Linked DNA regions of Schizosaccharomyces pombe. The protein of the gene in region 1 interacts with the protein of each later gene in a pairwise test. Each region holds a gene or a part of one and is shown in the gene's direction. Other genes may lie near its edges.

The links.
Region 2: the proteins of pcp1 (region 1) and alp7 interact in binary tests that used the Schizosaccharomyces pombe proteins (3 or more experiments, as listed by UniProt).

Annotation. Positions count from the first base shown.
Region 1 is NC_003424.3:3,253,593-3,260,081, reverse strand, and holds pcp1 (gamma tubulin complex linker, pericentrin/kendrin Pcp1), read left to right. Parts: upstream 1-1,801; 5' UTR 1,802-1,916; coding exon 1,917-5,543; 3' UTR 5,544-5,681; downstream 5,682-6,489. Other genes in the region: ubiquitin hydrolase Ubp6, read right to left, coding at 1-381; ARP2/3 actin-organizing complex subunit Arc4, read left to right, coding at 638-640, 696-898, 1,029-1,152, 1,334-1,510; pcd1 (coenzyme A diphosphatase), read right to left, coding at 5,712-6,489. UniProt on the Schizosaccharomyces pombe protein: Spindle pole body component that binds calmodulin. Overexpression of pcp1 causes the formation of supernumerary SPB-like structures and disrupts both mitotic spindle assembly and chromosome segregation.
Region 2 is NC_003424.3:5,001,694-5,006,495, reverse strand, and holds alp7 (kinetochore-associated protein Alp7), read left to right. Parts: upstream 1-2,010; 5' UTR 2,011-2,300; coding exon 2,301-3,725; 3' UTR 3,726-4,096; downstream 4,097-4,802. Other genes in the region: serine/threonine protein kinase Ppk16, read right to left, coding at 1-1,375, 1,544-1,593, 1,661-1,754, 1,802-1,825; tbc13 (GTPase-activating protein), read left to right, coding at 4,520-4,802. UniProt on the Schizosaccharomyces pombe protein: Required for bipolar spindle formation and proper chromosome segregation. Has an indirect role in connecting the kinetochores and the plus end of pole to chromosome microtubules by targeting alp14 to the spindle pole body.

The DNA of each region.
Region 1 (6,489 bases):
GTCTGATAATTCTGGAATGGCACGCAGCATTTGAACTGTAGAATTCATGTAACACGTGTTGCCTAAGTTTATAAGCCCTGACGGATAGCCATCATCTTCAGATTCCTCTTGTTCTACTGACTCGACAGCTGGAATGGGCATAGCTGTTGGTAGTTCGCCTGCAGTACCCATCATTAATAAAGTTGCATTTGGTTTAATACCAACTGAACCAAGCAAAACATCGTCTTTAAGCTGGCCACCTTTGACAATCACTTTCTGTCGTTCCGGAGGAACTTGTGTCAACGAGTATAGTTGATGTTTCAAGGTGCTTCCTGTTTCATTAGGTTCAATCTCTAAGTCGTACTTCTTCCCTTGCCAACGAATTGCTATGGGAATCATCATAAATGGTTTTTGTAATTAATGAAAGAAATACTTGTTTAAGCCCAATATAATTTTTTTTGTAATTCTTTGCAAATTATACTTATTATATATGTTGCTGGTACTTGGTGAAGGCCATACAGTAACGAGCTATATACTCATTTTCGGTAACACCACGCAGCGTGCGTGGTTGTGCCGCTAAACTCGTTAAGCAATATCACACTGACACTACGTGTTAGCACAAAACCAAACCCGGAGACTGACTCCATAGATTCTAATTATGGTAAGAGAGGAATTCTTTTGTTATAAAAAGATATGATTTATTAACGAAGGCATAGTCTAATACCTTAAGACCTTATTTAAACGCAGTTCGTTCTACTCTGACTGCTTCTTTAGCATTAGAGGAATTCTCATCAGAAATTGTAGAACGCCAGAGTCAGCCGGAAGTTGAGGTTGGACGGTCTCCTGAAATTCTACTAAAGCCCCTGGTGGTCTCTCGTAATGAGCAAGAACAGTGTTTGATTGAGAGCTCTGTTAATAGGTATGTCTTAGGCATCCGATGTTTCCGATTCGAACTGGTACATTCACTGATCTTTCGATTTGGAATAACGGAGTTTTGAAAGTCATTCTCATTATTTGGATTTTTTTTACTGATGCATTTATGAAATTAGTGTTCGTTTCAGCATTCGTATTAAACAAGTCGATGAAATTGAACGAATTCTTGTGCGCAAATTTATGCAGTTTTTAATGGGTCGTGCAGAATCTTTCTTTATTTTGCGCCGCAAACCTGTTCAGGTACGTTATTACAAATTGTAATTGGCAAAAAAGTGTTCAAGGGAAGAATTTCTAGAGATTTTGCGTTAGTTTAAGTGTTCACTGTTCTGCCTCAGCCATTGTATAGTTCTTCTTTTTTTTCTTTTTCGAAGTTGCCATTGCTATTTGTAAATATCATCAAACTAACCTTTCTTTGTTATAGGGCTATGATATTTCCTTTCTTATAACTAATTACCATACTGAGGAAATGCTTAAGCACAAATTAGTTGATTTCATTATTGAGTTTATGGAGGAAGTTGACGCTGAAATTAGTGAGATGAAACTTTTCTTGAACGGAAGAGCTCGTCTTGTTGCTGAAACTTATCTGAGTTGTTTTTAGATTCATGTTTACGTTTTGGACCCTATCGATGATTTTATCAATTTATACATAAATAAATGAGCACCAAATACTTCTTCCGAATAAAATTCCTATCTCTTCTATTCTGTATTGAGTACAATAAACATATCAAGGCAGTTTTACATTCGATAATCCTTCATATCTACAATCTCGCCTTTTGACTTTTAGCATCCTTACAAGATATAACGAAAGTATACGATATGTTGTTACTTATATTAGGGAGCTGTTTCGTAGTTTATTTGATCATTTGACGACTGTAAACAAACTACAATCAACAACATTTTTGCTTTTTAATGATTCTGCCAGAATAAGTAGTTTCTATATAATTTTATGCACTTGCGCTAGTTGGTGGATAATTTTAATAAATACATGCATCCGCAGTTACGTTATGTCTGAACGAGATTTTAATACGCAATCTCCCAAATTTAAAGATGAAAACGCGAATTCTGTGATCAGCCAATCTGATTTTTTGGGGAAATCACTCAAAAATAATAACGATGATTATTCTGATTTCCGTGGTTCGTACCTTAATGATAAATCATCTTTCCAGACGCCTTTGCGCAACGGCTCTTATCAACCAAAAGGTAGTTTGGAATTTACTCCATTATTACAGTCTTCAAATAAAAACTCAGATAAATACAACGGGAGTTTGGGCGATAAAGGCTCTTTTGACCCTAATTCCTACGGGTTATCTGCTATATCTAAACAAGCTACTCAAGAAGCTTTGAGCATCAGTCAGGGAAATGACTCTTACGACGTTTCCAAGCTTACCGATCTCTCGAAAAATTCCGAAATAGATCACACAGATGGAGAATTGCCTGCAAATGCCGCCCTTACTCTTCGTGAGCAAGAAAAGGTCCTTGAGAAAGTTAGCAGAGAAAACTTTGGACTTCGAATCAAAATTGTATGTTTGGAAAAGCGACTTGAGTCTATGGCTCCCGAACAGATAAAAGAAGCTGTCAAAGACAATGTTGAGTTGCATGCCGAACGAGCAAACTTACAGCTTCAGCTTAAGAGAACTGAATCTTTACTTCAAAAGTCTGAAGACAAGAATTTCAAATTAGAAGAGAAGGTCGATTATTTATCTAAGGTTAATGATGTCGAGCAATCCCAGAATGTAAAAGTTTTTACGGAGCGCATTCGTTTTTTGGAGAATGCCTTGGAAAAAGTTCAAAGGGAAAAAGACAGTTTATCTACAGAGATGGAAGAGGATAAAAGTAACAAGGAAGTTGATTATGAATATGAAATACGACAGTTACAAAATCGGCTTGATGAATTATCGGAAGAGCTAGATGTTGCTCAAGATTTGCTTACTGAGAAAGAAGACGAAATTGCCACCCTGAAAAGACAGATTGAGGAAAAGGAGAATAGCTCTTCAGCTTTTGAAAATGAGGAGAATTCAAGCTACGTACATCTTCAAGAAGACTATGCGATTTTGCAAGCCAAATGTGATGAATTTGCGGATAGAATACAAGTGCTTACTGCCGATCTCGAAAAAGAGAAAGAAAATCAGATAATGCATGAATCCGAGGCCTCAATTGGTTTGACAGATTCCATGCAAGTACATACCCTTCAAGAACAATTACACAAAGCGAACGAAGAAATCGAATTTTTACATGATCAAATTAGTCGAATGAACGAAGAAGGTAAAAACTTTGAAGATATTATGCTTCAATTTAGAAGCTTGGAAGAAGAACGAGACGTGCTAGAATCCAAACTCCAAACTTTGGAAGATGACAATAACAGTTTACGGTTGATGACCTCCTCGTTGGGTAACCAAATTGAGTCTTTACGTACGCAAAATCGTGAAATAGATGAAGAGAAGAATCATTTACGTCTTCTTGCCTCTAAAAATTCAGATAAAGCACTTGCAGAAACGAATATCCGATTGCAAGAAGTCACTAAAGAACTGGAAACCCTTAGAATGAAGAATTCTAATGACTTAAACGAGATACACGATCTTAGGGAGGAAAATGAAGGCTTAACTTTGAAGATTGACTCTATTACCAAAGAGAAAGACCGTTTAATAAATGAGTTAGAACAACGTATCAAGTCATACGAAGTCAACGTTTCTGAATTAAACGGTACTATTGATGAATATAGAAATAAGCTTAAGGATAAAGAAGAAACTTATAATGAAGTGATGAATGCTTTTCAGTATAAAGACAACGATTTGCGGCGGTTTCATGAATCCATTAATAAATTACAAGATCGAGAGAAAGAGTTGACTTCAAATTTGGAAAAGAAGAACTTGGTCATTAGTTCATTACGAGAGACAGTTGCAATGCTCGAAAAAGAAAGAGAATCCATTAAGAAATATTTATCTGGAAATGCGAAAGACCTTGATAATACAAATTTAATGGAAATTCTGAACGATAAAATTTCAGTACTTCAGCGGCAGCTTACCGACGTAAAAGACGAATTAGATGTTAGCGAAGAAGAACGAGAAGAAGCCATAGTGGCTGGACAAAAGCTATCTGCTAGTTTTGAATTAATGAGCAACGAAAAACAGGCTTTGGAGTTAAAATACTCTTCGCTAAAAAATGAATTAATAAATGCCCAAAACCTCTTAGACCGGAGGGAGGAAGAACTATCCGAATTAAGTAAAAAACTCTTCGAAGAAAGAAAAATACGATCTGGATCAAATGATGATATTGAGAAAAATAAAGAAATAAATGTGCTCAATAGCGAGTTGGCCGACAAGCTTGCTCAAATTCGTCATTTAGAATCTGACAAAATGGAGCTAGATAAACTTGTGCATCACTTAAATAGGGGAATTGAGGAGGCGAATATAGAAGAAAATGCTGTCAAAAAGAGACTATGCCTTTTGATGGGATGTGATTATTCTTCGGTGAGTATTTTGCAGATAGTCAGTCAAATTGAACATTTTGTCAATCAACAAATCCAAACGATTCGGTCGTTGAAGCAAGAGTTACGGCATGATTTTGTACAGTTTTCTGGTAAAAAGGAACAGGAACTTAGTAGAAGCTTTGAAAAATTTGGATTGGGAACTGAGACAAAGCATGATATTCTTGCACAACGAAATCGAAACGTTAGTGAGAAGATGAATGACTTGGAAAACGCTGCCCAAAAGTTTTTTAGCTCTCCTGATCGGAAGAATGGCTATTTATATCCTTCTGAACATACTTCTAAAATCGAGTACCTTGAGAAAACGATTGAAGATCTAAAGCTTGCGCTTCAAGATGAACTAAAAAATCGAAATTTACTCATGGATGATATTTCCAGCTATAATAAGCAAACAACCAAGTTGCAGGAAAAGATTAAATGGTTAGAAAGAGAACGTTCGATACTTATCGATGAGCTTGAAAGTTATCGATCAAACCAGTTTAATTATCAGAACAACTTAGTACAAGATAAAAATGAACTGGAAGAAAGGCTAAAGGAAATCCAGAAGGAATTAGAGGTTTATAACAATCATTTTATGAAGCAAGCTGAATTGATGACTTCCAATGTTACCGACGAAAGCCAATTAATGCTTAAGACACTCAGGGAGGCTCTTCAGTCTAAGACTAACAATATCGATCATCTGTCTACTATTTTGGAACGTAATAGAAAAGAATATAAATCATTGTTAGATGACTATAATCAATTACGTGCACGCTATAAGAATTTACAATCAAATACTCCGCAATCCACACAGTCAGGGCAATACGAATCTGAAATAAAGGGACTCTCTAAGTTGACTAAATATCTTCAATCGAAATGTCGAAGAGAGCACTCTCTTCGTTTGGACCTTGCCTTTTCAAAAAAATTTATTTTAATGCAACTAACAGGATACGAAACATGCAATAAAATAAATTTACGTATGCTGCAGAAAATTGGAATTTCACCTGATCCTGATTTATCTAAGAAACACATAAAGCTGAAGAGTCTAATTATCGTTGTTTGTTCAATTGAAAGAATGAAGCGAATGAAGAATGAGTGGCTAAAACAAGCTCAATTGAAACAATCATTGCAAAGAGCTGCCGCAAAGGCAAAGACCGCAAACTACTAATCTGGGATACTTACGTTTTTTACTCTCTTTTTTTTTAACAACATTCAATTAATTCTACTACTATAATTATTTTAATTTATTGACTTTATTATCAAGCATTACTATTAATAACAGAAGAAAAAATAAATATTAATTAAGTCTATGTAGTAATGGTATTAAAGCGTAAAATCAAAACTTTGGGATTGAGATAAGAGCATCCGGGCAAATAGAATTAAGATACATATTTAATATAACCGCTGTTATTCCCCAAATTCTTGGAATCTTATCAATGTTAAATTCGACATAAAGCAAATCCGTATTACGAAATCGAGATATCTTTTGGTGCTTGGGATTTAAAAAAGAGGTGAGAGGAACGTAAAATAAATCTTTCACTTCACCTGTCCCAAGTGAAGGAAGGGAGGTTTGCACCGAAAACGCAAGGTAAGCCCGAATCTCAGTCTTTTCATCTCTGGTGAATAATGGAGGGAAAGTAGTCAAGTAAGTAAAAAAATTAGGGAGGAATCCAATTTCCTCGTAAGTTTCTCTTAATGCCGCATAATAATGAGAACCGTCTGAAGGTTCCACACGGCCACCAGGAAAGCACATTTGTCCAGCATGAGAACGCAAGTTTGGAGAACGTTGCGTGAGTAGTAAAGAAGCTCCTTGAGAAGTGTTTACTAGAGGCATCAAAACAGATGCAAATCTCGTAGGCTGGTTAGTTGGTTTTAATGGTAAGGTGGGGCGATTTTTGTGTAATAGGTATATTTGATGAGAAAGAGAATCCATGGTCAAATCTCCGTTCTCGTTTACCACGCCATTACTCACCAATTTCTCAAGCGGCGACTGGTGAAGATAGGTTACATGGTGCGATTGACTGCTGAAATAATGCCTTTGGATGTATTTAATAGCTTCAAAACAAACTTGATTGTTTAAAATACTATTTCTTTTTGAAAAAGTATTCTTTAGA
Region 2 (4,802 bases), 1.7 Mb from region 1:
AAGGGCTATTTTGAGAGTTCGAGGGGAAGGTAAAGTCTTTATTACCGTCGAGGTTTACCGTTTTTAAAAGAGGAGGAGTGAATGGTGTGTTTTGCTCACCTGTATCAACGTGCGTTGTTTGAGGAAGATTTGAGTGTCTTCTTCCAAAACTGTTAATCGAAGGAAACACGGTAAGGTTCTCAACTGAATTGTCTAAAGACTCAGATAAATTATCGGAATCAAAATTTTCTTGAGTTAAATAGTTTTCAGCCGAAGGACTAGGTGTTCTTGGTCTAATTGCTGATGAGCTTAACGTATCAGCAGTATGCTTTTGTTTAGGATCGAATAACCAACTACGAAATGTAGAAAGCAAAGAATTACTTGAATCTGACGATGTATGCCGACTTTTTAAAGAATCCTGATTGTTGGACATAACAGAAACTTGAGCGGTTTTTAATGATGGAGTTGCTGGAGCTATGTGTACAGCCGAAGATGAACCTTTATGTAAATGAAACAAACCTTTCTTTTTTTTGTTTTCCTTACGCATTTCTTTTTCTAGTAATAAAAGCCACCATCCATAGAACATGTCACAGCGCTGTTGTGAGATGCTGGCATTAAGTTGATCCATGTCAACACCAACAAATTCAAGCCTTTTACGAACTTTTTCCTCTGCTTTCGAGGAAGGCCTTGGGTCTCGAATAGAAGATGAATGATATCCATTTTCCTTGAAATAGGGGTGAGAGATGATTTGATCGATAGAGGGTCGAAGTCGGTAATCCTTGCAAAGGAGGGATTTCAACAAGCTTGAAGAGTTTTTGGAGAGTGTTTCAGGATATTGAGGACATTCATTGATAATTTTTTGCTCAGTTAAAGATACATCGTCCTCGTCGAACGGGAGCCTTCCTATTAAGAGAGCGTACATAATTATACCCAGAGACCATATATCAACGCATTCACCAATATATTTATGGCCCTGTACTAGCTCCGGAGCACAATAAGCAACTGTACCACAACGTGTGTTCATAAATGTTCTACGGGAACAATCAGAATCTCTAGAAAACCCAAAGTCTCCAAGCTTAACATTGTAGGCTTTATCTAGAAAAATATTTTCGAGTTTAAGGTCACGGTGAACACAGCCTTGTCTATGTAAATACTGAATAGCACAGCATAGCTGCCACATGATACGGCAAGTGGTCTTTTCATCCAGCCTTTTTTCTCTCGCTACCCAGTCATACAATTCACCATTTGGACAATACTCCATGGCAAGATAAATTCGGTCTTCGGTGCATACTACTTCATAAAGCCTCGTGATGTTTGGATGAAGAAGACGCCGATGATGATGAATTTCTCGAGCAAGGATAATCGCTTGTTTCCTGCAAGATGATTTCAGGACAACCTTTAATAAAAATGTTAGCAAGGTACAATCAATTTATTGATGAATAAAACGTTTATCATTCTCATAATGTAATCAACCGACTTTGGAACGGTCAATATTCGCAATTTACGAGCCGTTTATTCTTCTTTTTATAACTTAGAGACATAGTAATCTTTGAATAACCCATACCTTTGTATTTGTCAGTAAATGAGCTGCCAAATAAACTTTTCCAAAGCTGCCTACAACCCATGCTTGTTAGATAGCCGTCCAGTATTGAGCGTTCACAATAACACAAAAGTATCGTACCTTCACCGACAACACTCTCAATGCGATATGTACCGACATCAGAGATACGAGGATTGCAAATTGTTGCAATTAGGTCATTGTATGAGGCCGATATCTGCCATTCATTAGATAATCACGATTTCCCTCTTTTCATATACATACGTTTGCCTTTTCATTTTTCTTCATACTAAAATTTGGCACACATAATATCAAAGGTTGACTTGCAAATTGTTTAGTGTTTACAGTAGGATACTTTGGTGTTATTACAAAGGCTTCGGAGAACAAGCTACCGAAAATTCACCGAGAGCTCGGTGAACTCTTCCCACTCTCTCCTTACTCAGTGTAAACCAGTATGTATGTGCCTTTTATTTACACCACCATTGTACGCCTAGTGTTGAATCAAGACGAAGAATTGAGGGCAATAAGGGGTTATTTATTGGGCATTGTATGACTCAAGTTTGTTATTGAACCATTGTTCTACGTAGGCGGACATCTGACCAGTTTTCAAAAAGTAAAAATAAAAGTTAGCTACTGATCGTTAACTTTGAAACGATAATACCAGCTGTAAAATATTTGAAAAAGGATTTTCTTGTGTATTTATATTTCATATATCTGTTAGTTCTTTATATCGTTTGACGATTTTAAAAAGTCATAACCGAAAATGAGTGATATCGTTTCGAGCTCTACAGATTACAGTAGGAGGTCTCCCTCCTCATCTAGTATTGGGACAAATGAAACTGATCATACGGGTTTTCATGAAAAAAGGCAAGGTGCCTCTTCAGAATCATTGATTCCTCCAGCTCAACGAAGTTCAGAGGAATCCATGCCTGCCCCTAAATTATTCCCTAAGTTAACTTCTAAACCCAATCCACAGCTGAATTTAAAGGATACTCTTAATAAGCGAGTAAGCGATCGACTACAAGCCTTAGAGTTGAATAAATCTTTTGATTTTTCAGGAACCCCTAGACCGATGCATCCCATATCCCATCCTTTGTCACAGCATAAAACGCCAGAATTTAAGCATAGAAAAAGAAATGTAGAATCTATTTTGACGCCGAAGAATCCTTCTTTATTTTCATCGTCCAATGCGGCCTCCCAACGAGGCTCTTTAAATACCGCTCCATCTAATTTTGCATACAGTCATTCATCATCTTTGCAAACATCAGCTAGTTCTAGGCCCCCAGTGCTTTCAAACGGAAGCTTCCCACGTCAAACTAATACGGCGCCGTTGAACCCACCAGTGCATTTGAAAGACAACATTCGCAACTCTGCTACACCATCAACTTCACAGGCCGATATACCTACTCAATACCCAATTAATTCCACTCAAAAGCAGCAAGCGAAATACGAAGCTGAAATAGAGGGCTACAAAGCCAAACTTGCTGGCACTTATCATGAAATTTCCGTACTCCAAAATACAATCGTCAATGTTTCGGGACAATTGATTGCCGTTAATGACCAACTTCAGCAACTTAGATCTGGAAAAGCATCGACTAGTCCCTCCACAAAGGATACCAACATGAGACTTGTTGAAGGGCATAATGAAGAGACATTAGCTCTTCAGAGAGGTAAATATACTCAAGAGGAAGTTGACAAGTTAATTCAAGAACGCATGGAAAAAGTTGCTGAAGATTTACATGCTCAGTACTCAGCCAAGCACACTCAGAAAATTAATGCTTTCAAAGCCAATTATGCTCGAAAATACGAGGCAACTATACAGGAGCTTCAAAATCAAATCGGTACTGCTCCTAATGCTCCAAAAATATCCAACAGTAACTGGGAGGAAGAAAGGCGAGCATTGAAAGCAGACAATCAGACTCTCCAAAAACAGCTGGAGAAAGCCATTCAAGAGCGCCAAGATATGTCAGATTTTTTGAACAATTTTAAAGCTGATATGGCGAAGAGTGATAAGTTACTAATGCAACAACAATCACAACAGACAGGTGATTTGGAAACACTTCGTTTACAACTGCAAGCGCTTCAAGAAGAGCTCCGGGTCGAAAGGGAGGAACGACAACAGTTGATACAAATGAGCGAGGACTTGGTAATTGCAATGGATCAACTGAATTTGGAGCAAAAATCATGATCTGCGCTTTCATTTTTGATAAAAACAATCTCCATAATTTTTTTTTTTTTTTTGATAGAGTATTGCTAATGTATTGATGCCGTTTCCTTTATCCAAACCACTTCTGTATTCTCATGATTAATTTAGTTTCATATTGATGACCCCAGTTTCATGAATACAACCCGAATTCTTTTGATTTCCATTAATTAAGCCTTCTTTTATGGTTATACATTATCTACCAATTTTCGTATATTTATACATCATAACAGTTCGATATACAACCTAATATAAATTGCATATCCACTCTTTCTTCTTTTATTTGTATTATAGATAGAATCAAAACTGGAGCCAATCTCAAGGCTAATTTCTCACATACATACATTAGAAAACGGTGCATTTATTTAATAAATATCCAATTATTATTAATTGCTCGTTCTAGGTGCTGTTTAAACCAAATATTTCTTTCCTGGTCTGTATGTTGCACCTACATCAATCTTACCTATACTGTACATCTACTAAGGACGTTCATTACTCTGTACTTTCCTACAGTATTTGATTAGGGAAGTATTGTTAAGAAGGAAATTAGTATAAAAAATAAGTCAGAAAATTTAGTCGGTTCTTAAACTTGCATTCAATTTTAGTAGCTAACTTAGTTCCATCATCCACGTGTGAAACAGGCTACTGAACACACCAATTGCGCTCTCCTTTTCTTCATATATTTAATTTTCAACAGTAATATTTTATATATGATAATATAACTAAATTGGATATAGTCAAACTACATAATATCTTATTTGAATCGCTTCTAGTTTATTATGGACTATAAGCAACGCATTGAAAAATTTAAAGACATTTTAAATTCGGAAGAGCCAATTTCTCTCCCTGGTTTATGCTCGCTTTGTATTCAAGGAATTCCTGATGAATATTCACTTAGGGCAAAAGCTTGGATGTTGATGCTTGAGTTCCTTCCTACCGATAGATCAAACTGGCAATCAGTTCTAGAAAAACATCGAAAAACTTATACATCTTTCGTTCAAGAGCTTCTTATTGATCCTTGGAGGAAACTAACTCTACACGAGGAATCAGGCGAAAACAGTG